7 linked regions of the Kluyveromyces lactis genome follow. The protein of the gene in region 1 interacts with the protein of each later gene in a biochemical or structural test. Links are inferred from orthologs where the notes say so. Each region holds a gene or a part of one and is shown on either strand. Other genes may lie near its edges. The genes, in order: MCM10, MCM4, CDC45, MCM6, MCM2, CDC7 and MCM7.

Evidence for each region.
Region 2: the proteins of MCM10 (region 1) and MCM4 form a complex in vitro, tested with the Saccharomyces cerevisiae proteins (3 studies listed by BioGRID). The link is inferred for Kluyveromyces lactis from reciprocal best matches to the Saccharomyces cerevisiae genes MCM10 and MCM4.
Region 3: the proteins of MCM10 (region 1) and CDC45 form a complex in vitro, tested with the Saccharomyces cerevisiae proteins (4 studies listed by BioGRID). The link is inferred for Kluyveromyces lactis from reciprocal best matches to the Saccharomyces cerevisiae genes MCM10 and CDC45.
Region 4: the proteins of MCM10 (region 1) and MCM6 form a complex in vitro, tested with the Saccharomyces cerevisiae proteins (4 studies listed by BioGRID). The link is inferred for Kluyveromyces lactis from reciprocal best matches to the Saccharomyces cerevisiae genes MCM10 and MCM6.
Region 5: the proteins of MCM10 (region 1) and MCM2 form a complex in vitro, tested with the Saccharomyces cerevisiae proteins (5 studies listed by BioGRID). The link is inferred for Kluyveromyces lactis from reciprocal best matches to the Saccharomyces cerevisiae genes MCM10 and MCM2.
Region 6: the proteins of MCM10 (region 1) and CDC7 form a complex in vitro, tested with the Saccharomyces cerevisiae proteins (2 studies listed by BioGRID). The link is inferred for Kluyveromyces lactis from reciprocal best matches to the Saccharomyces cerevisiae genes MCM10 and CDC7.
Region 7: the proteins of MCM10 (region 1) and MCM7 form a complex in vitro, tested with the Saccharomyces cerevisiae proteins (2 studies listed by BioGRID). The link is inferred for Kluyveromyces lactis from reciprocal best matches to the Saccharomyces cerevisiae genes MCM10 and MCM7.

The regions. Positions count from the first base shown.
Region 1 is NC_006037.1:50,765-54,577, reverse strand, and holds MCM10 (Mcm10p), read left to right. Parts: upstream 1-1,496; coding exon 1,497-1,584; intron 1,585-1,667; coding exon 1,668-3,313; downstream 3,314-3,813. Other genes in the region: MLP2 (Mlp2p), read left to right, coding at 1-1,274; KLLA0_A00550g (uncharacterized protein), read right to left, coding at 3,337-3,813. UniProt on the Saccharomyces cerevisiae protein: Required for DNA synthesis. Required for entry into or completion of S phase. Involved in DNA replication and seems to participate in the activation of the pre-replication complex (pre-RC) and in transcription elongation.
Region 2 is NC_006039.1:1,537,586-1,541,576, reverse strand, and holds MCM4 (MCM DNA helicase complex subunit MCM4), read left to right. Parts: upstream 1-1,191; coding exon 1,192-3,870; downstream 3,871-3,991. Other genes in the region: mannose-ethanolamine phosphotransferase GPI13, read right to left, coding at 1-610. UniProt on the Saccharomyces cerevisiae protein: Acts as a component of the MCM2-7 complex (MCM complex) which is the putative replicative helicase essential for 'once per cell cycle' DNA replication initiation and elongation in eukaryotic cells.
Region 3 is NC_006042.1:1,834,515-1,838,291, reverse strand, and holds CDC45 (DNA replication initiation factor CDC45), read left to right. Parts: upstream 1-1,282; coding exon 1,283-3,277; downstream 3,278-3,777. Other genes in the region: tRNA splicing endonuclease subunit SEN2, read left to right, coding at 1-418; LCL2 (Lcl2p), read right to left, coding at 593-997; KLLA0_F19800g (uncharacterized protein), read left to right, coding at 3,594-3,777. UniProt on the Saccharomyces cerevisiae protein: Required for initiation of chromosomal DNA replication. Acts at the origin of replication. Also has a role in minichromosome maintenance.
Region 4 is NC_006042.1:935,830-940,052, reverse strand, and holds the start of MCM6 (MCM DNA helicase complex subunit MCM6), read left to right. Parts: upstream 1-1,423; coding exon 1,424-4,223. Other genes in the region: KLLA0_F10109g (C2H2-type zinc finger protein), read left to right, coding at 1-858. UniProt on the Saccharomyces cerevisiae protein: Acts as a component of the MCM2-7 complex (MCM complex) which is the putative replicative helicase essential for 'once per cell cycle' DNA replication initiation and elongation in eukaryotic cells.
Region 5 is NC_006042.1:1,165,544-1,169,543, reverse strand, and holds MCM2 (MCM DNA helicase complex subunit MCM2), read left to right. Parts: upstream 1-1,200; coding exon 1,201-3,834; downstream 3,835-4,000. Other genes in the region: KLLA0_F12606g (uncharacterized protein), read right to left, coding at 1-464. UniProt on the Saccharomyces cerevisiae protein: Acts as a component of the MCM2-7 complex (MCM complex) which is the putative replicative helicase essential for 'once per cell cycle' DNA replication initiation and elongation in eukaryotic cells.
Region 6 is NC_006039.1:396,435-399,826, forward strand, and holds CDC7 (serine/threonine protein kinase CDC7), read left to right. Parts: upstream 1-1,464; coding exon 1,465-2,892; downstream 2,893-3,392. Other genes in the region: DAL1 (allantoinase), read left to right, coding at 1-458; ERP3 (Erp3p), read right to left, coding at 545-1,264; trans-2-enoyl-CoA reductase (NADPH) TSC13, read right to left, coding at 3,197-3,392. UniProt on the Saccharomyces cerevisiae protein: Serine/threonine-protein kinase. Needed for the initiation of DNA synthesis during mitosis as well as for synaptonemal complex formation and commitment to recombination during meiosis. Required for HTA1-HTB1 locus transcription repression.
Region 7 is NC_006041.1:2,065,526-2,069,749, forward strand, and holds MCM7 (DNA replication licensing factor MCM7), read right to left. Parts: upstream 2,801-4,224; coding exon 320-2,800; downstream 1-319. Other genes in the region: AAH1 (adenine deaminase), read left to right, coding at 1-58; KLLA0_E23211g (uncharacterized protein), read left to right, coding at 4,122-4,224. UniProt on the Saccharomyces cerevisiae protein: Acts as a component of the MCM2-7 complex (MCM complex) which is the putative replicative helicase essential for 'once per cell cycle' DNA replication initiation and elongation in eukaryotic cells.

The sequences.
Region 1 (3,813 bases):
ACTGGGAATCGAAGTTCCAAAGAATTAGGCTTCAAGCACGTGATAGATTGAATGCCTCCAAGGAAAAGGAACAATCTTTATCATCAGAAATAAACCAAATCAATGAAGCTAAATCTCAAGTGGAGGCCGATTTAGGAAAATGTAAGACCGCTTGCAAAGAGTTAGAAGAAAGATTACAAGTGGTAACGCAAGAAGCAGAAACAAAGGAACAGACTTTTAACTCTCAATTATCTAAATTGCAGGAAGATCTACATTCTATTCAGGTTCAAATGGAAAATGCTTCCAAGACCGAACAGAATAATGCAGATTCAGATGAAAAAATAAAATCGTTGACTGAGACTGTGGAAATGTTAAATAGTAAAATACAGGAGCTTGAAGCCGAAGCCTCCAACGCTCAAAAAATAGTAGCTGAACATCATACGCCAGTTATCAACGAAGACACGAAGTCAATAGTGGATAATTTGAAAACAGAATTTGAAGCTGAAAAAGAACAATTAATAAAAGATAAAGAAAAAGAATTGAGGAGCAAGTTTGAGGCAGAAAAAGAATCTGCTTGGAATTCCAGAGAGGAAGAGCTCCGGAAACAGTTTGAAGAAAGAGAAAAGAGAATTCGTGAAGAGTGCGAAAAGACTACTGTCCAGTCTCCTTCGCAGCCTACCTTGGATATAGACATCGATGCTTTGAAGAATGAATGGGAAAAAGAATATGAGAAGCAGACTCTGGAAAAAATTAAATTAGCAGAAGAAGCCCTCAAGAAACGGATCAGGTTACCTACTCAACAAAAGATTGATAAAATAGTTGAGGCAAGAAAAGCTGTTTTAGAAGAGTCCTTTGAAGAAAAGGTAAACGAAAAGGCCCAAAAATTGGCAGGAGAGATCGGAAATGATGCCATTACTCTAGAAAAGCATCGTGCAGAATTGAATGCACTTAAGGATTCCATGCGTAAGCAATTTGAAGCAGATTTGGCAGAAATAAAACAAAAATCTTTCGAAGAAGGGAAACAGCAAGTTTCCTTGAAATTGAAATTTTTGGAAAGCAAGATCAGGAATTTAGAACAACAAAAGTCCACAATTAAACCTGTAGAGAATGACACTTCTAATATGAGTGCAGCATTCCAGGCCCCTGTATTTGGCTCTCATTCAACATTCACTAGTCCCTTCTCAACGTCAGAAATTTCTCCTAATAAGAGACCCATAGACGACACCGCAACAGAACAGCCTGAGAAACGTCACAAAGAGCCTGAAAGTGATACTGAGGATGGTCAGGAAGCCTGATTCTCCAGACGATTTTATGGCTGTTAATATTACCGAAGTTCTATTTAATTTTTTTCTATTATGTATCATTATTTGACCATTCGTTTTCAACATGTAAAAAATACTAGTATTACTTTCCACAGATATTCAAACGAGAAAACAAAATAATGACATCCCACAAGTAAAGAATGAACGAGAATAGTTACAGAAGCTATCGAGTATAGGTAACAGTGAAGATGCATCATGTCATATGATCTAACTGACCCGAGAGAAATTACGGCGTTCGACCCGTACGAGGAATTATCTGATGATGAATCTGAAATCGAAAGAGGTATGTTCTAATAATAATGGTTACCGAGATCAATGACATTAGAATATCCTACTAACATATTATAACCAATCATTAAATCAAAGTGAAACGAAGAATTGTTGAAATTGACACTGAGAAACGAGATTTAACTAACCGGCTGTTGGAACTAGAGAAGAAGAGAAACCTCAAAGACCCTAATTTCGATTCTATCGACGTTCCAGAGTCTCCTAAGAAATCAGATAATGCTACAAAAGGAATAGAGGATATCAAACATATTGCGCCAGTAGCAGATATAGAGGAAGCTACATTTAATGTTAATGAGGATTATGTAAGGGAAAAGGTCAAAAAGTTGGGTACCACTTCTTACTTTACTGAAAAACTTCGCTCCATCAATACAAATGAACATGAAGCGATTAAAAGGAAGAAAGAATTATTGGCACATCGAGTTTACACATTCAATGGCGACATGTTCGATGAATATGAACCAATTACTGTTGATGAAAAAGATGATTTGAGTGGTCTGGTTATAGACAGAAGGTATGTACCGTTGGCCGTACTTAGGAAACATACTAAAAACATAAAAGTGCTTCGACTTCCAAAGCTCTTCAGTAAGGTGAGAGCCCCTAAGTTCTCTGAACCTGATTATCCCAATTGGTTGGTATTGGGTATCATCTCAAAGAAAACTGAACCAAGAATGACAAATTCTGTGAAACCGGTGAAATTCTTCAGCCTAACCATAAGTGATTTCCAATTTGAACTGAATGTTATTTTCTTTGGGAAAAGTATAGTTGAAAAGTATTACAAACTAAGATTAGGTGATTTGATTGCTATACTTAACCCTGAAATAATGCCTTCCAAGAAACTGGAAGCGGGAGCAAGCCCTAGTTACGCTACATTTTCGTTAAAAGTTAGTAAAGACACCAATAATATACTGGAACTAGGTCACAGTAAGGAATTCGGATTGTGCCAATTTTACATGAAGAACAAAGGCAAGCTATGTGGTGCGCCAATAAACAAATTGCATGATAACTACTGTGCATATCATAAAGAGGCAAAAATGAGGCAAAACAGTTCTAGAAGAGTTGAAATTAGTAGCTCTGTGGCAATGAGAGCGCCAGTTGTCAAAGGATATCAACAGACTATTGTAAAATCACAACACAATAATGGTAAAACATCCATAAGATATCAACAAAATCCTGATAAACCGTTTGTACGAGAACCGGCAGCTGCAGAGACCAACAGATTCCTCTTCAGTTCTGCAAATGCCTCTACCGCGTTTTTCGATGACGACTACGAAAATCCTGACATACTGGCCAACCTTGATAACAAAAGACGCAAAATTCAAGAACTCAGAAACAATCGAAACTTGGAGAAAAAGTTAAAGGGTCTATCCGACAAATTGTTGTCAAAGAAGGAAGACCGAGTCAATCAAGAAGCAAAAAAGACTGCGACGTTGAGCATGTTCCAACATGGTTTAGCGAACCAAATTGGTTATGACCCAACAAAAGGGAAAGCGTCTTTAGAGATGCTTGAATATTCTACAGAGAATAAGGCGCCAAAGAATGATAAACAGCTGGCGATAACGGATATTTGCAATATAAAGAAAGATAATGTTAGCCTGAAACCTTCGAAGAAACAATTGAAAGAGAAAATTGAAAAGAGAAACGCTATCTTCAATGAAATAATGAAAGGCAGCCAAGAGCGGCTCGATAAAGATGAAGGCTCAAGTGATGATTTGGAAATTATATAGACAATAATGTAAGGTTTAATATATTATAAAGAATGTAGTACTTTTAATGATGGCTCCGTACAAGTCTCAATTCTTATCGTGGATGGTGGAGTATTCTTTCCCTCTAACTCTAGTAAGTTAAGAAGTTGCCCATCACAGCAAACTTCAAAGTTGCTCTTTTGTGACGGATCGTCTAGTACTTCGACGTTAAAACAAAATGGCAGTGGTCTGTAAAACGTTCCATTCTGTAAGATGTTTGAATGCTTCGTATTTGAATAACCCATAAATACCCTTTTCTGGAATTCTACTCTATCCAGAGAAGACTGGTATGCCAATACATGTAGTTGTGATTCCAATGGATCAGAATCGGGAGATGGCATATAAGTTGGCTCCAGATTTGTGGTATTTATTAACGCAAAATAACTAAAAGATCCTTCCAGAATATCGGGAATAGAGACGCGAGATTCGAGCTTGTATTCTCTTAAAATTCGCTGGCTAGCAACTCTAAACCTTTCAATGCC
Region 2 (3,991 bases), on another chromosome or scaffold:
TAAATAGGGCATCCCAAGTGTCATCACCGGCAAAGAATATTTTCTTGTTATGCAGATAAAGCTGTTTTATTAAGTTATCCTCATCGATCACATCACCATTGAAATTCGATCCTGCATCTATAAATGTAGGCAAGGAACCTGTTGTCAATCCCTTTAATCTTTGTAGCGTAGTTGTGGGAGGATCAGCCAAAAACTTCAACAAGACAGAATCCGTTGAGTTATGGGCCGTCTCATAAAGAACTTTCAAATTGTTATGATAATTAGGGTTGTACTTGGCATGATTTTCATCTACTGGAATAACGAAATCAAACCTCAATGCGTCCACTATTAGTAAAACCATCTTATCGTATTTAGCTTCGAAGGGAAGCTGGGGATCAAGTTCTGCAACGTTATCCAACACCGTCCTTGTTAAAAGGAACCCTTTTGCGAAAAATGCTATGGAAATAAACTGCAATACAGCCAAAGAAGCAAGTAATAGTATGTACAGAGTGTGCGTAGACTTGAACCTTGATATCCGATAGCTCATTCGACTGGACCTCGTTTGAGGCCCCATTATGCTGAGTCTAATTCTCTCTGCCCGATCTCGTTCATCACTAACAGTGGGATTCATCACTTCTTACCAGTTTCCAAACGGGACAAAAACACAACTAAACGAAAGTACAATAAATTCACGTTGAATAATGATATTGTGCAGAAGAATTGAGTCACACTGGCGAAAGTGGTTCGCTTATCTCTCGCCTCTGACAGAGTTCTTGTTACCACTTTATTTCATTTTAAAGGTTAATTTCTTTTAAAACAGAACAATTGTACATCACGTGATCATTGTTCCCTCTTCAAATAATGCAACTCCAATTCTGATCGGCGAAGATACTGACCATTGAGCTGAGTGGATCCATGGTATTATCAACGGTGGCAAGGGCTCATTAGAACCTTGTTTATTTCAATTTGTTCTGTTTTCTTCTTTAGGAAATGTAACTATGTAACCAAAAATGTGTAAAATCTTAACGAGTTTCACTTAGTTCACTCAAAGCATCTCAAACAAGATAACATTATCAATTGAAAGGTGATATATCAGGGAACCTAGGATTATTTAGCTGCTTAGTAGGTTTGATAAAATTGCTGAATTAGCATTTGGATAATAGTGGCAGTATATATCCATAGAACACAGGAAGACAAACGGTTAACAATATTATGTCCTCACCTCCAGCTCAACAACCAAGTTCACCAAATTTGTTTTATGATCCTAGCTCTTCTCCAGCTCCTCATGGTACACAGGATTCCCAGGCATCTCAAGACCGAGGCGTAGGCTCTTCTCCGTTTCACTATCCTTCGTCTTCGTCAAATGCCACGCAAGAGACGGCTCGCGCCGCTCCTAGTAGCAGTGGTTTAAGATCTAACAATTTGAGATCTGATCTATTGAACTATTCATCCTCTCTATCCTCAAGTGCAAGAGAGGGAAGACACTCTAGATCTAGAAGAGGCGAAATTAATGCATCTGACTTATCATCTCCCAGAAGAATTGTCACTTTCAATAACCTTTCCTCATCGGATAATGGATTTTCATCATCATCGAGACCTGCATCTGAAGCTGCTGATCAACCTTTGAAGATCATCTGGGGTACCAATGTTTCGATCCAAGAGTGTGGTAACAGTTTCAGAGAATTTTTGATGTCTTTCAAGTTGAAATATAGAAAGGAGCTAGATGATCAGGAGATTTTCATCAACGAAACAACAGACCAAGAGCTGTATTATGTGAATCAATTGAATCAAATGAGACAACTCGGTACTTCAAACTTGAACCTTGATATCAGAAATTTACTGGCTTATAAACATACTGAAAAGTTGTTTCATCAGATTCTCTATTACCCTCAAGAAATTATAGCTATTATGGATCAAACTGTTAAAGATTGTATGGTATCCTTAGCACTTGATAATGGGTTAGAGAGTTACTTGAATGAAATTGAATCGAAGTTGTTCAAAGTGAGACCATATAATGTGGAAACCAAAAAGGGTATGAGAGAGCTTAATCCTAATGATATTGATAAATTGGTGAGTATCAAAGGTTTAGTTCTAAGATCCACACCTATTATCCCAGATATGAGTGTTGCATTTTTCAAATGTAACGTATGCAATCATACTGTAGAAGTTGAGATCGATCGTGGTATTATTCAAGAACCAGTGAGATGTCCCAGAGTGGTCTGTAATAGCCCAAACTCCATGGTTTTAGTTCACAATAGGTGCACTTTCCAAGACAGACAAGTGATAAAGTTACAAGAAACGCCTGATCTAGTCCCTGATGGACAAACTCCACACTCTGTTTCCCTATGTGTATATGATGAGCTGGTTGATTCGTGTCGTGCTGGTGATAGAATTGAGGTTTCAGGTATCTTTAGATCTATTCCAATCAGGTCGAATCCAAAGCAAAGAGCCCTCAAATCTCTATACAAGACATACATCGATGTGGTTCATATCCAAAAGGTGGCTAAAGATAGAGTCGGTGTGGACACTTCTACTGTTGAACAACAACTCTTGCAGAACCAGATTGATAATGTGGAAGAGATTAGAACTTTGAGTAGCGAAGACATTAGGAGGATCAAAGAAACTGCTCGCCGATCGGATGTCTATGATGTTTTGTCACGTTCCATCGCACCAAGTATTTACGAGTTAGATGACGTCAAGAAGGGAATCTTATTACAACTCTTTGGTGGTGCTAATAAAACTTTCAAGAAAGGTGGAAGATATAGAGGTGACATTAATATTCTACTATGTGGTGATCCTTCGACCTCTAAATCTCAAATTTTACAATATGTTCATAAGATTGCTCCTCGTGGTGTTTACACTTCGGGTAAGGGTTCCTCTGCTGTTGGTTTAACTGCTTATGTTACAAGAGATGTGGATACTAAGCAACTGGTGTTGGAAAGTGGTGCTTTAGTTCTCTCTGACGGTGGTGTGTGTTGTATTGATGAATTTGATAAGATGAACGATAATACTAGATCAGTATTACATGAAGTTATGGAACAACAAACAATCTCTATTGCAAAAGCAGGTATTATTACAACTTTAAATGCTAGAACTTCAATTCTGGCTAGTGCCAATCCTATCAACTCTAGGTACAATCCTAATCTTCCTGTGACTGAAAATATTGATTTGCCGCCTCCATTATTATCAAGATTTGATCTCGTTTATCTAGTGCTTGACAAGGTCAACGAAGCGTCTGATCGTGAACTCGCTAAGCATTTAACCAGTTTATACCTGGAAGACAGACCGGATTCTGTATCTCAAGGTGATATTCTACCAGTTGAATTCTTGACAGCCTACATCAACTATGCAAAACAAAACATTCACCCGGTAATAACTGAGTCAGCCAAGACTGAACTTGTGAGGGCATATGTCGGTATGAGAAAGATGGGTGATGACAGTAGATCAGATGAAAAAAGAATTACCGCAACAACAAGACAGTTAGAAAGTATGATTAGACTTTCAGAAGCTCATGCTAAGATGAGGTTAAGTGAAAGAGTTGAACTTGAAGATGTGGAAGAAGCAGTGAGACTGATAAAGTCTGCCATCAAAGATTACGCTACGGATCCTAAAACTGGTAAAATTGATATGAACCTTGTACAAACTGGTAAATCGGTTGTGCAAAGAAAATTGCTTGAAGACTTGGCGAGAGAAATTTTAAAGATATTGACAGAAAGGACAACAGACACAATAAGTTTCAACGAACTAAGCAAGCTTATAAACGAACAATCGCAAGATAAAGTGGAGAGTATCGAATTATCAAACGCTTTGACAAGATTGCAACAAGAAGACAAGGTAGTAATCTTAGGAGAAGGTCTAAGAAGATCAATTCGTTTGAATGGCCGTGTATGAATAGATATTATCAAGTCTAGTTTTTCTGAGAAAGCCTCTACATAGTTTGCAAAGGGCTAAATGAGAATAACGACCTTCCGCATGTTCTGCTTATATACATACGTTCTGTGTATATATCATC
Region 3 (3,777 bases), on another chromosome or scaffold:
GCAACAATTAATGGTTTCGTTGGTACTGGAACCGAAAAGTTTCCAAGACATCAAGAAATTAATTCATCAATATGTCGCGTACCATCATTACAGGTCCAAAGGGTGGTGTGTACGATCGGGGATAAAATTTGGTTGCGAATACTTATTATACAGAAGAGGACCCCCTTTCCAACATGCGGAGTATGGAATCATGGTTTTGGATGCAAACCAGTCAAATGATTACACTTGGTATTCAAGCGCTGCCAGAGTCGTGGGCGGAGCCAAGAAACAGTTTGTATTATGCTACGTTGAACAACTCATACCTGAAGATGACTTAATGGAACTTTGGAAGCAATCAAAGTACGATGAGCTTTTCAGAAACTTTAAAATCCATGAATTGTTATACAAAAGATGGGTTGCAGGTAAGAACAGAGATTAACTGTTCCGAACCGGTAACGATCTTTTCCGCGAAGAACTCAAACGAGTAAAAATAAACCCATGCTAGTTAATTGCATTAAATACAGTAATGGTCTGTATTATATGTCTCTATATATATTATCAGTTTATGTTTGTAATAGTATTATGGCCGATACAGAAAGAAAGATCTCTCATTCTAAATCTTGCCGTCATATACATCCAAGATCCATCCACAATCTCTGAATCCCTCAGTACGTTGAGCTGGTCCCATTACTGGATCATCATAAATCTCTACCAGTGTTGGATCATGTGTTGCTGGCTTTGAGATGCAAATTACCTGACCGTTGGGTAGATTGCATTTCAATTGTGAATTAGGGAACGGACACGCACAATCCGACTTCTGTCTCACACAATCCAATGTCTGTGGACATAAATAATGCGGACAGTCATTATCTAGGAACATTTGCTGGTAAGAGCCAACATCCCGCTGTTGCTGCTGTTGCTGCTGTTGCTGTCTATTCTGGTGACCTGAATCGAAAAAGAATCCAGACACAGCTTGTAAAAAGAATGCTGAACCAATTATTGTTCCCAGTAGTTTCATAGTAAGTTAAGATCTTCGTATTTCGTAATACTGCAATATGAAATATCAGATAGCAGTGTTTAGTACCTATAGTCTTGTAAATCTTGGCATCTCTTCGAATATTTCGAATATTTCGCATGTATGCCATTTATGACAAGTAATCGATTTTCCAAAAATCTTTAAACGTGTAAGTATTCCAAACCAATATTTTAAAGAAATTTATGTAAATACATGAGATGACTAGCTCACGAGGGAAAAGAGACTGCAAACAAAACCACTGCAGGCCATCAAAGTGCCAGGTAGAGGATGTATATTGGCATTGCTGAATTTGTGGGTGCTTATGATAAAATTCTTCACCGATGCAGTTCTCATTCTTCATGTCAGTTGGTGATTTTTGTTTCGTGTTTAAACATTGACGCGTTATGTGCATCGAAGATGCTATCCAGTCTATTCAAGAAGCAATTGGTACAATCACAGTTAGTTCCCGTGTTTGGTTATTCGGAATTGAAGGATCACTATCAGAGACTGGACGAAAATATCAATAGCGTTATATTTGTAGGTTGTGGAGGGATGGTAGATCTTGAATCTTTTTTAGAGATTGATCCACAAGAAAACACGCAGGGTCCATTAGATGAGATTCAATTAGATAAGACTGACGTTGTTCAGAAATTTAAGAAGGAGATATTTGTGCTTGATTGTCATAGACCGTGGAATTTGGATAATTTATTTGGTTCACAGTGCATAACCTGTTTCGATGATGGAACAGTCGAAGAGTCTTTGACAGAGCAAAAGAAAGCATACTACAAACTTATAGAGATAGAGAACGAACTTGGCGATGAATTGGACGATGACAGTGATAGCGAGGAAGAGGAAGATGACAGGGAAACGCAAAATGAGGATAAAGACGACGATGACGATGACGATGACGATGACGATGACGTAGTATTGGGTAAAAGGTCCAGCGATGAATTGAATCCAAAAAAATCACATAAACAACGAAAGCGAGAGTTTCACAACTTAGAAAAAGTGTTACAGGAGTACTATTCACAGGGATCAACGGTGCTGAACTCCCTTTCAGTTCAGATATATTCTCTTTTGTCTGGTATTGGTGAGACAAATCTAGATTATTTATGGTTATGCATTCTAGGAGTGTCCTCTTTGGATAATTCCTTCCCGTTGGTATACAATCGACTATTACCACTTCTGAAAGATGAAGTAAAAAGATTGACACCTAGTGAAAAAACTAAAACGCCAGATTCTTTGAATCTTGAGATTCGTCCCGATTACAGTTTATTCCTTCTGAGGCATACATCCTTATATGATAGTTTTTATTATTCTAACTACGTCAACGCCAAACTGTCACTGTGGAATGAAAATGGCAAGAAAAGACTGCATAAAATGTTTGCACGCATGGGTATTCCGCTGAGTGTTACACAGGAAAACTGGATATATATGGACAATAATTTCAAGAGAGATCTGGGCGTACTTTTCGATAAAAATCTCGATAGATACGGGTTACAAGATATTGTACGAGATGGGTTCTTGAGAACTTTCGGTTACCGAGGATCAATAAGTGCCAGTGAATTTGTCGAATCGATAACCGCTTTACTTGAAGTTGGCAATGCTTCAAACGCACTAGAAAATTTGACAACAGCTAATGTATCTCAAAAAGATGATACGAACCAAGGTGATGAAGAGAATAGGGAGTACGAAGAAGCTGAAGAGCAAAAAATTAACAGAATACTGAAGACAAGGCAAAAAAAATGGATTGCAAATTTTTGGTCAAGTTGGGATGTATTGGACAATAATATGGATATTTTATCTCAGGGGATTAAGCATGCAACATTTTTACAAAGAAGTGTATTTGAAACTGGAGTCGCTATTCTGGAGAAAAGATTAGTGAAACATTTAAGGATTTACAGGCTATGTGTTTTACAAGATGGACCAGATTTGCATTTATATAGAAATCCATTAACGTTATTGAGGCTGGGATCATGGCTCATTGAATACTATGCAGAAAATGACGAAAAACAGTTACTTCCACTGGTATTGGCAACTTTAGATGAGACTTCTGACACATATCTTTGTGCAGGGATTGCGCCAAGGTACCCAAGAGGGTTGGACATTTTACAACAACAACAGCAGAAAACTTTAAATAATTTCACAGTGGCATTTCAACAAATAGCAGCTGAGACAGGTGCCAAAGTAAGGATTGACAATTTCGAGACATCAATTATTGAAATCAGGAAAGACGATCTACAACCATTCCTTGAACGTTTGACATTAAGCGGATTGATTTAGCACGAAGACACAAACATATTAATTTAGGCATATCATGAGGTGAGCTTTCGGCTTTAAATCTAATATATATATATATATTATGTAACAATCTAATCAGATACCTCGAAATTGACACTACTATGGGATGTCCAAGCTGTTTGAAATCTGTTAGGTTTACCATTGATATCACGTGATCATTAAACCAATGCCACAAATGTCAGTCAAAGGTAAGCATTCTAAAATACCCACAATAATTTGTCATAATTATAGGCAAAATGTTGCCAAGAACCAGCCTTCAACCCCTCAACTGTAGCTGTTCAGGCTCTTAAGTTAATACATGGAGCACAACATAGATCTTCCGCGTCTGCCACCCTGGAAAAGCCCGCAGTTCCGCAGGATCAAACATGTCAAACACTCAACAGATGAGGATTTCAACGTTGGGATGGGCACATCGGCAAATGTATTCAGCGACTCTTCGCTCTACACTCCGTTGAATTACAAGAATGAACGCAATAGAAACA
Region 4 (4,223 bases), on another chromosome or scaffold:
GAACATCATATTGAAAATCGTGAATGTGAAGCTATTTTGCCAACTTTCAAGGGTAACCTGAAGAAGAGTAAAAAGTGTGGGAAGTTGAAAATGATCATGACCTCTGATGGACAGTCACGTTTCATTTCCAACCAAGCAACTATCAGCGAAGCCAAGGTGCCTATCAGCAACTTCATGCCAGAAAATAGGAAGAAGTTATCGAGTGAGTATTCTAAACCGGCTTCTGCCTCCCCGCCCATCAAACAAACCATATCTGACCTGGCTTTGGATAACACTTTTGCTCTGGCTTCAATACCACTAAACTACAATGGAAATATCAATGGAAATATCAATGAACATAACGACAATCAGAATTACGGTCATTTCGAAAACCAAGTGTATGGCAACGGTGTCCCATCTCTCGCTCCCTCGAACTCTGTCCCCTTCACAGGACAACCACAACTAATACCTCATTCGGGATCTCAAAATACAGCTACTCATTTACGCAAATGTACACAACCATTCGATGAATTCTCCTCATTGAACAAATCACCAGTTGAAGATGCAGCTTTGGACACCGTACGGTCTATCTCATCCCAATCCTCCCATGAACATACTGTTCTCCATAAAGAAATGAACTTCATATCTACCGATCAAAAGTCACAAATAAATCCTGATTGGGAAGTACTCCCCCTCGACATCGAGCAAGCAGGCATGTCTATGGAAGAAGAAGTGAAATTCACGAATAACTCGAATGAACCTAAGATTAATACTACTTTACAAAGACAAATGAATGAGTACGCTCTGGGTGAGAGGCACTTCAGAGAAACTCAGCAATTCATGAACTTTTTCAATTATACTTACAATTACCAAGAATGATTGAATCTTTTTCCATTCGGCTTTTCAGTGGACCTATGTCCACATTAACATTTTCGGTTTATTTTATCTGGTTACATTTTTTTCTTTTCTTTCGATTTTAGATTCATTTTCACTTCACCATTAATGCAACTGACTGTCAGGGGGGCTATTTTATCCCTGGCCAGCTTTCTAAAATCCTCGCGTCCATATACTTATATCGCTTAAATAAGATGAATTCTTACCTACGTATCATTAATTTTTATTATCAATTCACCGATGTTTTATCTTCTCCCTATCGAATCAAAAAGAAAAAATTCCATTAAATTGAACTTTGCTGCATTGGTTATCGATATGTTATGGTCGATAGTCAATGGTTTTCCTCGTGTTATACCTCAGTTAACTAATTTTGGATACTTGCAATACCTCTTTAGGAAAAGTAATATTGAATCGCCTTAACTCAGAAATTAAAAAAATGATTTTACATGTTGAAACACTTAAAACATGATCTTCAATGTGAAGGGCATCCAGGTTGAACGGCTCATCCAAAACCGGACATAGTTGGAGCAAGCTGAAAAAATCAGCAACAATGTCGGCACCATCAAGTCCTTTTCAACATGGTCAGCAATCATCCCAGCCTCCCTCTAGTGTAGGTGCTTATGATAGTTCACAATTCGATGATCAGTCGTTAGGAAACAGAACTCCCCAGTTTCCATCTTCTTCCAGAGGAGTGTCAGATGGAAATAGACATTTCGGTACTGATGACACTAGGCAAGGCATTAATTCAGAATCACAAATAGAGGCTATGGAAAATGATTCACAAGAAATTACTCCATTAGCCGGGATCAGGCAGAAAAACTTGAATGCCATCAAAAAGGTTGATGATAAAACTGGTGAAACTGTAAGAGAGGCATTCGAACATTTCTTGTCAAATTTCACCGCCCTCAATGATGAAACAGGTGAGATGGAGAAGGTTTATAGAGTCCAAATTGAATATATGAGATGGTACGAATTGAATACCATATACGTTGACTATAAACATTTGGCCGAGGTGGAAGACGGAGCTTTAGCGGTTGCTATTTTACAACAGTATTACAGATTTTTGCCATTCCTTTTATCTGGGCTAAGAAATGTGGTGAAGAAGTACGCTCCTGGATTATTATTAACATCTGACTCTGTACTTCCTTCTCAATCTCAAGAGAATTCTCAGGACCGCTCTTCGCAAAGAATAGATTCATCTTTGCCAACTTCGCAGGCTGCCACCGCAGGAGGCACTGCCCCATCTACCATTGCCACTAATCCAGATCAGGTTGAACGTGTTTTGCAAATCAGTTTCCTGAATCTCCCAACTGTCCATAGAATCAGAGATATTAGGGCTAATAAGATTGGTTCTTTAATGGCTATTTCAGGCACAGTCACGAGAACTTCGGAAATTAGACCAGAATTATACAAAGCCAGTTTTACATGCGAATTGTGTCGAGCTGTTATTGACAATGTGGAACAAGTTTTCAAGTACACTGAACCAACCTCTTGTCCAAATCCAACATGTGAGAACCAATCTTTCTGGTCATTAAACGTGAACAGGTCCAAATTCTTGGATTGGCAAAAGGTAAGAATTCAAGAAAATTCCAATGAAATTCCATCCGGTTCTATGCCAAGAACCTTAGATATTATTCTTCGTGGTGACTGTGTCGAAAGAGCTAAACCAGGTGATAGATGTAAATTTATTGGTACTGAAATTGTCGTTCCAGACGTTAGTCAACTTGGTTTGCCTGGTGTTAAAGCAAGTTCGACTCCAGATTCTAGAGGTATCTCACGGACAACGGAAGGATTGAACTCAGGTATTTCTGGGCTCAAATCATTAGGTGTTAGAGATTTAACTTACAAAATATCGTTTTTGGCATGCCATGTTGAAAATGTTGGTACCAGTTTCAATGGTAGTAGGATTAATGAGGAGGACGCCGATAAGACATCCAAATTTGATTATATTAACTTGAGAAACTATCAAAACTATGAAATGGCGGCAGAAACTGATCAAGAAATTTTCCTAACAAGGCTTGATTCTGACGAAATTAATGAATTAAAAGAGATGGTGAAAGATGAGAATATTTATGACAAACTGGTGAAATCGATTGCACCAGCAGTTTTCGGGCATGAAACCATTAAGAAAGGTATCCTTTTACAAATGCTTAGCGGTGTTCATAAAACTACTGTAGAAGGCATTAAATTGAGAGGTGACATTAATATTTGTATCGTTGGTGATCCGTCCACCTCAAAATCTCAATTCCTAAAATACGTCTGTAACTTCTCTCCAAGAGCCGTTTATACTTCCGGTAAAGCATCTTCAGCGGCTGGTTTGACTGCAGCTGTGGTGAAAGATGAAGAAGGTGGTGATTTCACTATTGAAGCTGGTGCGTTAATGTTGGCAGATAATGGTGTTTGTTGTATCGACGAATTTGACAAGATGGATATCGCAGATCAAGTTGCTATTCATGAAGCCATGGAACAGCAAACCATTTCGATTGCCAAAGCTGGTATTCATGCAACATTAAATGCCAGAACTTCAATTTTGGCTGCCGCTAATCCCGTCGGCGGTAGGTACAATAGGAAACTGACTTTAAGATCTAATTTGAACATGTCTGCACCAATTATGTCCAGATTCGATTTATTCTTTGTCATTCTTGATGATTGCAATGAGAAGATCGATACTGAGCTAGCTTCCCACATCGTAGACTTGCACATGAAGAGGGACTCTGCTATTAATCCACCATTCTCAGCAGAACAATTGAGTCGTTATATCAACTATGCCAAGACTTTCAAGCCGGTAATGACTAAAGAAGCTCGTGACTACCTAGTCAAAAGATATACAGAACTAAGGAAAGACGATGCGCAGGGGTACAGTAAATCTTCGTACCGTATAACTGTCAGACAACTGGAATCATTAATCAGATTAAGTGAAGCTATTGCTCGTGCTAATTGCGTGGATGAAATTGTTCCGAGCTTTGTCGCTGAGGCGTACGATTTGTTGAGACAGAGTATCATCCGTGTTGATGTTGATGACGTTGAAATTGAAGATGACGATAACTCCCCAGAAGAAAGTACGGAGGGTGAGGGCACAATACCTGCCACACAACACTTCGGCGAAACACTTGATACACAATCTCAGTCACCTTCTCAACCACTGAACGCCGACTCCGAAACGGGGGGTGGTCCTGACGTAGAGTCTCATGACAACGCTCATCACACAACACATAAAGTCGCAATATCATATGATAAATACGTGGAAATGATGAATCTAATTGTACGGAAAGTGGTTGACAGAGAAAAGAATGAAGAACCTGAAATGACAAAAACTGAGATAGTAGATTGGTATTTACAACAGAAAGAAA
Region 5 (4,000 bases), on another chromosome or scaffold:
AGAATGCAGTGATCATGAAACCAGTCCTCATTGCACTCCAAGCCAAGGACGCATTGTAACATCGTTGTCGTTGTATTCGGGTCATACTCTCTATGGCAAGAGCAAAATAACCCTTTGAAATTCTGGCCATACCTGTTACTCATGTCTGGTATATCTGGTGTAGTATTCTTTCTTATATTACAAGGTGTGAACTTCTCACCGTGTTCAAACTGCCTTTCTGTACCGCAATCGCAACTGAAATTCCTCTTATCGAAAAGTTCCACCAAGTCACAGGTACTGTGACACTGAATAGAGCATGAATAGCACACTCCTATACTGTTGCAAGTACGACATGCGAATATTGGCTGTCGAATTGGGCCCATGGAATAAGTGCAATGGCTTGGATCATATGGCATCAGTTTATTTGCTTCATCTTCCAGTTCCTCCTGTCGCTTCACATATTCTTTAACGCTAATCTCGCTCATTCCCTAACACCAACAAGACTATCTTTAAGTGCCAGAACTCACCTTGTAGTAAGAAATGCGTGAATGAAGGTACCCTTTTTGCCTTTAACTTGACGTGTTCCTTATGTTTAAATTTGGGGATATTTCATTGATAGTAAGAGATTTTCCATGTCGATGAATCAATATTCCGTATGATTTTACGTCAATATCGACACATTTGGACGGTTACCGGATGGAAATCGATCTAATATGGGGCACAAAATGCATCACATCATTCCAGAGCTTCAACATCCATACTTTACCTGCAATTGTGTTGCTTCATCGTGTGATTGGAGCTATAAGTACGGTTTTTAAGCGTATGATCCCATGTGATTATCACGTGATCCACGCATCATAATAAAGAAATTATACTAATCAAATGTAGATTGCAAAGCTAAAAGAGGTGAGAACTACCGATTGGTGTTATTGGAATATTGCCATTGCTGTATTATTAGCCCCAACGCTCTACAATGGTCAGATCGTTGCAAAACACCATTTTAGGAAATGTTATTGTTTCAATTAAAGATCATTTTCGTACATTCAACTGAAGAAAAAAGCCGGAAAAAACGTTAAGATCTTAAGATAGCTTTAGATCCCAATGGTCTGAAACAAAGTGTAACAAGTAGGTCATCGAAGCATCAGGAAGACAATTGTGTGATCGGATTTGGTAGTGCGATAATTGAAGATTATTAATTGCTGTTTTTGAAAGTGTTTCAAGATGTCTGATAATGATGAAATAAATAACGGAAGGAGGAGAAGAAGAAGAGCTGATGATGATGAGGATGAGGATGATTCTTTGTCTACACAACCCCGTGAAGGTGGCGCTAACATCCCTAGTTCTCCACAGTTTGAAGACCCGCTTGGATCTCCAGATGAGATAGATTTTGAGAATCCAGATAACGATGGAGATGAAGCTGTCAATGTTCAAGAGGATCTTGAAGATGTGGAAGAAAGAATGAATGAAGTCGATTTGATGGGTGATGATATGTACCGTGATTACGCTTCAAACACAGAACATGATACGTATGAAAGAAGAGGAGTCGACGACCAGGAGCAGCAAGAGTTGTCGCTCGCTGAGCGTAGAAGAATCGATGCACAATTGAACGAGAGAGATCGTTTGGTGCATAGGAACACAGCATACCTTGATGATGATGATGGCGAAGGAGCTGGTGCGCATAATTTGGATGCTATGGGTCTTCCAGTACAGAGGAGACGTAGAAGACGTCAATACGAAGAAGCAGATGATGATTTGTTATCAGATATGGATATAGATCCGTTGGCAGATGAGCTCTCGTTGGAATCTTTGGCAGATGTGAAGGCATCAAGTTATTCTGAATGGATCACTCAACCGAATGTATCACGTACTATTGCCAGAGAGTTGAAATCGTTTTTGCTTGAATATACTGATGAGTCAGGTAAATCCGTTTACGGTGCTCGTATCAGAACTCTCGGTGAAATGAACTCTGAATCCTTGGAAGTTAATTATAGACATTTGGTAGAATCCAAGGCCATTCTAGCCCTATTTTTAGCCAAATCTCCCGAAGAAATGTTGAAAATATTTGATACAGTGGCTATGGAAGCTACACAACTACACTATCCCGATTATACTCGTATTCACTCGGAAATTCACGTAAGAATCTCGGATTTCCCTAGTATATTGAACTTACGTGCTTTACGTGAAACTCATTTGAATTCTTTAGTTAGAGTTAGTGGTGTCGTGACAAGAAGAACTGGTGTCTTCCCACAACTTAAATACGTTAAATTCAACTGTTTGAAATGTGGTGCCACACTTGGGCCTTACTATCAGGATTCAAATGAAGAAATTAAAATCTCGTTCTGCACAAATTGTAGATCTAAGGGTCCCTTCAGAATTAATATGGAAAAAACTCTGTACCGTAATTACCAAAGAATCACCATCCAAGAATCACCAGGGTCTGTTCCAGCCGGTAGATTACCACGTCACAGAGAAGTCATTTTGTTGTGGGACTTGGTTGATATCGCAAAACCTGGTGAAGAAGTCGAAGTGACAGGAATCTATAAGAACACATATGACGGTAATTTGAATGCAAAGAACGGGTTCCCCGTTTTCGCAACAGTACTGGAAGCCAATTCAGTGAAGAGAAGAGAAGGCGGATTGCATGATGGTGATGAACACGAAGGGCTGGATGCCTTCAGTTGGACAGAAGACGAAGAGCGTGAATTCAGAAAGATGTCTCGTGACAGAGGAATCATCGATAAAATCATTTCATCAATGGCTCCATCTATTTATGGGCACAGGGATATCAAGACAGCAATTGCATGTTCTTTATTCGGAGGTGTTCCTAAAAACATTAACGGTAAGCATTCCATCCGTGGTGACATAAACATTCTACTTCTCGGTGATCCAGGTACTGCCAAGTCCCAAATTTTGAAATACGTGGAAAAAACTGCCAACAGAGCTGTCTTCGCTACAGGTCAAGGTGCTTCTGCAGTCGGTTTGACAGCTTCTGTCAGGAAGGACCAAATAACTAAAGAGTGGACTCTTGAAGGTGGTGCGTTAGTGCTTGCGGATAAGGGTGTTTGTTTGATTGATGAATTCGATAAGATGAACGATCAGGATCGTACTTCTATTCACGAAGCAATGGAACAGCAAAGTATATCCATCTCTAAGGCAGGTATCGTTACCACGTTACAAGCCAGATGCTCTATTTTAGCTGCCGCCAACCCGATCGGTGGTCGTTACAACTCTACTCTTCCGTTATCACAAAATGTCAATTTGACTGAACCAATTTTGTCAAGATTCGATATCCTCTGCGTGGTAAGAGATTTGGTTGATGAAGAAAGTGATAATCGGCTAGCATCTTTCGTCGTTGATTCACATATCAGGTCTCATCCAGACAAGGATCTGGATGATTTTGATGATGGTAACGTTCCAACGGAAAATCCTAATGGGGAGGGTGATGAAGAAACTCCGTTATCTGCCAAACAAAGACGCTTGCAGAACCTTCGTAAAAGAGAAGAAGAAATTTCGCCCATATCTCAGCATATGCTAATGAAGTATATTCATTACGCAAGAACTAAAGTTTACCCTAAGTTACATCAAATGGATATGGACAAAGTGAGTAGGGTTTATGCTGATTTGAGACGAGAGAGTGTCACTACTGGTTCATTCCCGATCACCGTTCGTCATTTGGAATCTATCTTAAGAATTGCTGAAGCCTTCGCGAAAATGAGATTATCAGAATTCGTTTCCTCATGGGATTTAGACAGAGCAATTAAAGTAACAGTGGACAGTTTTGTGGGTGCACAAAAGATTAGTGTACGTCGCCAACTACAAAGATCTTTCGCTGTTTATACTATGGGAACAATGTGAAATCAAGATTCAACATTTCCAACGGAAGAAAACAATTCTATAAGCTCAGAACAACAATATACCGTTCCCATTTTTTCCATTATAGATGCAGTACTACATCGCTTATATTAGCATAATATACAAATTTGTAACTAATAGACTTAAATAATGATTACTTCAACCTTCA
Region 6 (3,392 bases), on another chromosome or scaffold:
CCTTAAGAGAAGGTCTAATCACTTCTGTAGTAAGTGACCATTCTCCATGTATACCGGAGCTAAAAGACCTCGCAAAAGGTGATTTTTTTAGTGCATGGGGAGGAATTGCATCCGTCGGGTTGGGACTACCATTACTATACACTAACGGTGCTTCCATCGCTGAAATCATTCAATGGTGTTGCGAGAACACCAGTAAGCAAGTTGGTCTTGATCACAGGAAGGGTTTCCTAAGAACTGGATACGACGCAGATTTTGTTATCTTCGACATCAATACCTATCAGACTGTCGACAACGATAAAGTTTATTTCAAAAACAAACTGACAGCCTATGATGGGTTCAAACTGAAAGGTTTAGTGAGAAACACCTATGTTAGAGGAAAATTGGCTTTTGAACTTGACGGCATGGGACATAATAAAAACCCTCCCGGCCAGACAATTCTTGAACGCAGAAGAACATGAAGTACCCCATCTTCTAATCATTTTTTTTTCTTCAATTTTGAATTACCTTTATTTGATGCATGATATACATATTATATATATATCACTTATGATTTAAATTTACCTAGAATATACTTCATTATTATAATTTCTAGAACAGCAATCGTCGGTACAAGAACTATGGAGCAAATTGATATGGTGACCAACCTCGATGCTATTGATTTAACAGTGTGGTGGTTTCTTTCTGCACGTGATTTGTACAGCTTCAAATTTCTTTCCAAGACTTGAAGCTGATCCTCTATTATATTTACAGAATCTTGCAGTGTCCTCACCAGTGAACTATCTATCGTCTCTCCTATCAAACGAGGATCTGCTGGCTTCGGTATCTGATCGAAACATATCTGTACAATGTCTAAATCAACAATCTTAGGATATTCATCACCAATGACACATAACGCATATTCACCAGTATGTTTCGCAGGAAATGTCCATTGCCCTTGCTCTTCGTCATCTTTGTAAATCATAGGATACTCTGTATCGTCCGGAGACCATAATTCATAGCTTACTCTGAAGGCATTGTTTTCTCCCTCTTGTACTGCGAAGTAATAAGATATTTTGCAGTCACTGTCATCAACATCAATGTAAACACATTCTTTCCCATTCTTCTGTAATTGTACCGTTATTGGTGAGCTTTGACAGACAATCACAAGCGAAAATACCCATAACCATGTAAACTTCATATTTAATAAGTTATACATGAAGGTTGCTTTGTGTGTAAATGTCCTTTTATTCGACAATTCCCCTTTTAACGTCCTGTTTCTGTTCATTAATATATGTCATTTCAATGTGAACTACTGCTGTTTGTTATTATATTTGGTTTCGACAATAAAAATGAAAACATCGCCAAAAAATGCATAGAATAAAAGAATCAACGGATATAGCGTATCTGTTCTTGTAGAGTCAAACCAATGGGTATACAGCTCGTCTGTTAGGCTTCATATTAGGTGGCAATATACACACTATAATTATGGATGACATTCCCGCTGAAATCATCCAGGAAATGGATGATTTGTACGATAAGGTACCACAGTTGTCATCCAGATACAAGCTACTGGATAAGATCGGAGAGGGGACCTTTTCATCGGTATATAAAGCTCAAGATCTTAGCAACGTATCTGGAAGGTTATACCCTGATCATTTCTGGGATAAGAATAGTAAACATGTGGCTATCAAGAGGATATACGTGACAAGCTCGCCGAACAGAATTGAAAATGAACTTAAACTCTTAGAGTTACTGTCAAATTCGAATAACGTAGCACCATTATGCGACGCGATTCGATACCAGGATCAGGTGGTTGTCGTCTTGCCCTGGTATCCGCATGAAGAATTCCGGCATTTCTACCGAGACATGCCTATCAAGGGGATAAAGAAGTACATGTTTGAACTTTTAAGCGCCTTGAAATACGTGCACTCATTTGGAATCATTCACAGAGACGTGAAGCCAACCAATTTCCTATACAACCCAATACTTGGGAGAGGTGTGTTAGTAGACTTTGGTTTGGCTGAAGAGAATGAAGAGTTGTACTTGCCTGACCTCAACTATCGTGTGTATGTTAATGACCAGGGAGAGAAGGTTTGTAATTGTTCTTCACCGTATGCTAACAACAAAAAGACATCACATCTGCCGTTGATATCCATTCAGAACGGGCAGCTTAACGTTAGAGGGGCAAATGAATTAAGTGCTGCACAAAGTGAGAATCTCATGAAGGCAGAATTGAGTAAGGGGTACCCAAAACATGAAACTAGGAGGCAGCGTAGAGCTAATAGAGCTGGTACGAGAGGGTTCAGAGCGCCAGAAGTGCTTATGAAATGTTCTTTCCAAACTCAAAAAATTGACATTTGGTCAGTTGGTGTGATACTGTTAAGTTTCATCAGCAGAAGGTTCCCAATCTTTCAAAGCATGGATGATATTGACGCCTTTCTGGAGATATGTTGCATTTTTGGAATCAAGCCCATGCAAGAAGTCGCCAAGTTCCATGGGTTGGGACTAGACATGACAAAGGTTCCAGGTTTCCATTCGGAAGGATATCCTGGGGGGCTACAAGGTTTTGTGAGAGCTTTACTTGACAAAGAAGTGGAGGAAGGAACATTACCAGAGTATTCCATAGCGTTCGAGACGTTGGATTATTTGACACAATTTGACAAACAACTCACGCCAAGTTTAGGCCCAGACGATGAAGAGGATATTGATGATAAAATACGGAGCTACAAACAAGCAGTTTGGGACGATCATTTTTGGTGTTTTGATCTCTTGGCAAAATGTTTCGAACTCAATTCATACAAAAGACCCAGCGCCAGTGATCTTCTTGAACATTTATGGTTCAAAGAACTGAACGAAGATTTACTTGATAGAGATCAAAGAAGAGAAGATCACTTCACCGGGGTCGTTGAGTAATGAAATCCAGAACGAAACAAAAATATTTGACGAAAATTAGCATATATTCACCGCAATAACTTAGAGCAGAACTCATTTTTTATATACATGCATTCATATATAGAGTTCTTTAACCGATAGAGTAATTTAATACTTTGCATTCATCATCATTATTATATTTAGTTTACAAACGTTGCCAACGCTTTGACGGCATAAGTTAGAGAACAAGTGCGTAAATAAACGAGTAAAACAGCGTTATTCACTTAAGAGAGAATGCTATAATACCCCAAGTCAAATATGTATGTGGTGATAGTAATTGGTGAATTCAGAACAAGAATGGGATCAAGAATGCTCTCTTGGTACCATATTTCTTGTTTTTCTTTTGAGCCCACAAGTACATCTGAACCACCGAGACAACAAGGAAAAGAACTGAGAATAAGTTCAACTTGAACAACAAAGTGAAAAACATCCAAGCCCAAGATTCAAAAGTGTAATTTGGAGCGACAAGTAGTTTGAACAAC
Region 7 (4,224 bases), on another chromosome or scaffold:
ACAAGAACTACTCTCTGAGGTTTCAGAAGTTGTAAACAAATATGTAAACTTACCTTAGACTAAGTAGTAGATGGCATAAGCTAGGTTTATGCACAAAATAGATAGATTTTGAATTCGACAAATTAATTTTGGTTTTGAAAGATAGACTGTGATTACTTCTGCATCGTTCAGTCTATCTGGGAGAAGAGGCACATTAGAAGTTACTTAAACGTTAGTATATAGTAATACAAATTTGTCGTTAAACTAGGTTTAAAACTAAAATAAGGAATAAAGGCATTATTGGATCAAAACAGATTAGTGGTATGCAGATAGTCAGGTATTATTCCATATCGACATCTTCATCCGGTGTCCTTTGCGTCGAAGGGTTAGTTATATCAGAATTGTCTTCCGTTGTATCATCAATATCGTCAATAAATAGCAAGGTGTTTCCGTCTTCTATTTGATGCCAAACATTAAGATACTCATACTCTTTGATACAGCTTACCAGTTGCAGCATAGTGAAACCTCTTGATCTAATCGTTCTTACAATAGCATCATACGGTAATCTTTTATTAAATCTACCATTTTCAGTCGCCATTTTCTTGATAATTGTGTAAATTCTGGTTGTTGGGTTTTCATCTTCATATGGGTTCTTGCGGTCGCTGTATAATGACTCTTTAGAGACTTCTACCAACCTCAAAGCTTCGTCTACATCTTCAATTTCCACAGTGTCACTGAGCCTTAGTTTTGCCAAGGCCTGTGATAGTCTGATAATTGCAAGTAAAGTTCTAGGTGTTGCTTGCCCAAACGAGAATTTAGAATCCAACGCTTTCTTAGAGTCTTGTCTCATTCTTGTATAAGATAGAACTATGTGTTCATTGACATCAGCTGACAACACAGGTCTCTTAGTCTTGGCGTATGCAATATACTCTCTCATTTCGCTCGAAGGAATTGGTTCGAAACCAAAATCAGGTTGCCTGTCATACATATGAACGTACGTGACGTGTTCTGCTAACTTCTCATCGTTTTCTTTGCTTGGCATATCGAGTAGTAAAAACATGATATCGAATCTAGACAAAAGAGCTGCTGGTAGATTAATATTTTCAAGTGGAGATAACCTTGGATTATACCTTCCGTATAGCGGGTTAGCAGCTGCCAATATGGAGGCTCTGGCATTTAAAGTAGTGTTAATACCTGCCTTAGAAATTGAAATGGTTTGTTGTTCCATAACTTCATGGATAGCAGTTCTATCACTTTCATCCATCTTATCAAATTCATCGATACAACAGATACCGTTATCGGCAAGGACGAGGGCACCACCTTCTAGCACCATTTCATCAGTCACTGGATCCTTCATAACGGCGGCTGTTAGACCTACACCAGAAGAACCCTTACCAGTTGTATAGACACCTCTCGGAGAAATTTTACAGATAGATTTCAATAATTGAGATTTAGCAACACCAGGATCACCCATCAAGCAAATGTTAATATCACCTCTGATTTTTAGACCATCCCCGACTTTTTTTTCAACACCGCCCACTAATAATAACAATAAAGATTTCTTAACATCGAGATTACCGTAAATTTCTGGAGCAATTGATTTAGCCAAACGGTTATAAACATCACCTTGGTTGACGATTTTCGCTACTCTTTCTTTCAATTGATCATCAACTTGGAAAGATGCGAATTTTTTCTTATGCTGGTACACAAACTGTGTCTCTAGGTACGTTTCCGTTAATAGACCAGCTTTCAAAGCACGGAAACCAGTGTATGGTGAAGGTAGATATATACCAGTAACATCTACCACATCACCTGGAATCATGGATCTAGTTAATGGCCCATTAATGTGAATAGTTAATGTCCTTGGGATATGCCCGATGGGCACTTGATCTGATAGTTCTTGAATTTTACATTCTTGGAATGCACTGAACTTTGATGCCCTAGTACTCATGAACAATTGTCCCTTAGTTTGATTTTCGGAACATTGGGCAGAGGGACATTCTATTATTGGGGTAAAAGTTCTTTTATTAACTTCTTGGAACACTTCATGACCGCACTGATCACAAGTATAAGCGTTGACTGTGACACTTGGCTTCACATCAGAGACTCTGGTAATGATACCACGGACTGTAATCAATTTTCCCAAATAAGAGCCTTTAATTTCTCTTACTGACATTGGTTTCAGTTTCCTAGTGGATCTGCTGGTTAACGGTTTAAAATACAAATGATATCTCCTAATCAACGCAGCAGGGAACAAATCAGCGTCCGTAGTGGCCAATTGATCCAAATTGGTTTGAGACTCTTCGCCCATCCCTTGAGCCATTTGTTGGAATTCATCTCTAGTTTCCAAGATATTTCTTTCGTTTCTCAATCTTCGTTGGTGTAAAATGACGTCCAATACATCTGTTTCGTAATCGATATCTTTCGTTGGAGGCGGCAATAGTTCATCTACACAGTTGGAGAAAAGTTCTGTGAACCGCTTAGTGTTTTCCATGATGATACGGTGTAAGTTAACTAAGTTCTTGCCTTGTGCTGCTGTATTTGACGAAGACAAATTTTCAAATTGCTTGGTGCGCTGATAATGGTACACATCGTCCAATTCGATATACAAGATATCTTGTTCTCTATTGGCAATATGTTGCAATTGTTGCAAGTACTTTGGGCCCTGACCAACTTCAGGATCCAAGTTATCGTCATTATCGTTCTCCCCAGTAGAACCGATAGTTTCCTCTTTGTAATGGATCAAGAAATCTTTGATATTATCTTGAGCTACCTCGTAGTCAATTCCGAGATCCAGTGTGGGCAAAACCGATGAAGCCATGGTACTGGTGGTGTTCTGAATCGTTGGTTGGTGTGAGTGGCAGCAGACAGTAGGAAAACTGATAACGGAGAAGTTGTTGAAGATTAGCAGAAAGTGTATGCGTAAATGTTTCAAAGATCAATTGGAAAAACGAAAGTGATTTTTATTTTACAGTTCCTAATCGGGTAGAAGATGAAAGACGCATTACCCGGACACAACCACGTGACAAAACATACCAACATAATTACCCTCCCTCTTATAGTCTATTTTTAATTTGAAATTGCAATTCAATTTTTCAATTTTCAGTACTTTTCATAAACGACCACATTGGCTTGGCTGGACCCCCGGTATAGAGAGGCAGTAACCTCAAAAATTGGGTGAAAACAACCTTAACATTGCATTATCTAAGCCTAACAAGTGTTCAATGGGCCAATCGAGTGGACAATGGATATAGTATAGGAATTTGGCATTCGTAAATGGACACCCCAGTTTCAGAAACTGAAATTCAACATTTCCCCTCGCTCAAAGTGTACCGCCGCCCCTGCCCTCAGGGATAGCCCTTGGTAAACGAGAGGTATGTCATCGCAACGCGTAAACCAGGTGTAATTTATTACCTCCCCGCCCCCCATAAATTGTTTACATTTTACGCGTTGTACCGTACGTAAACGTCAAAAAACGTAAACAAACGCGTAAACCGCACCCTTAAATTTGAGAAATCAATTTAAAAAATCAATTTAGCTCCTTCCCAGTTTACGTGTTGCAAAAATGCACTACATACGGACCGGCATACCAATAGTTTACAGTTTATGCCGTTAAACATCACCGAAGCTAATGTTTATTATTATTACTACTGTGTGGAAAAGGGTACAGGCCCCGGCACAGCCCTATGTGTCGGCGTCGTTCACAATGACACTTAGTCAGACCACATTTATTTCACCGTTTCTCAGTCCACACACTCAAGATTTCGCACAAAACTCTCAGTCCTACACACGTTTCTAAGATGCAAAAGAAAAAGCCAACAAAAAATTCTCAAAATAAAAAAAATTCGCCTAGCTGAGTATCTGCATTGTACTGTAATGTACCTTAAAACTGGAAATCAGGTTAGAACAGCTGTCTCAGACTGACTTTCTGACAGTTACCTCGTTATCTTTAGCATTTTAACTGTTTTTGGTTTGACTTTTTTATGCTTCGTTTAGCCCGAGATTAATATGCACACAGAGTGTTAGTATCGTTACACTAAGATGGTTTTCGGTTCTAGTTTTATATATAAGAAGTATGAAATGTGAATAGTTGAAGATTCGGTTCTTGTGATAGAGTATATTTTATATTAGGATTTAAATATATGTATGTGTATTGTCACGAGGTTAAACACAAACATAAAACTCAAACTATATACATATACACCTATTACGAGATGATTGCCAGTACGATATTCAAGAGACAAG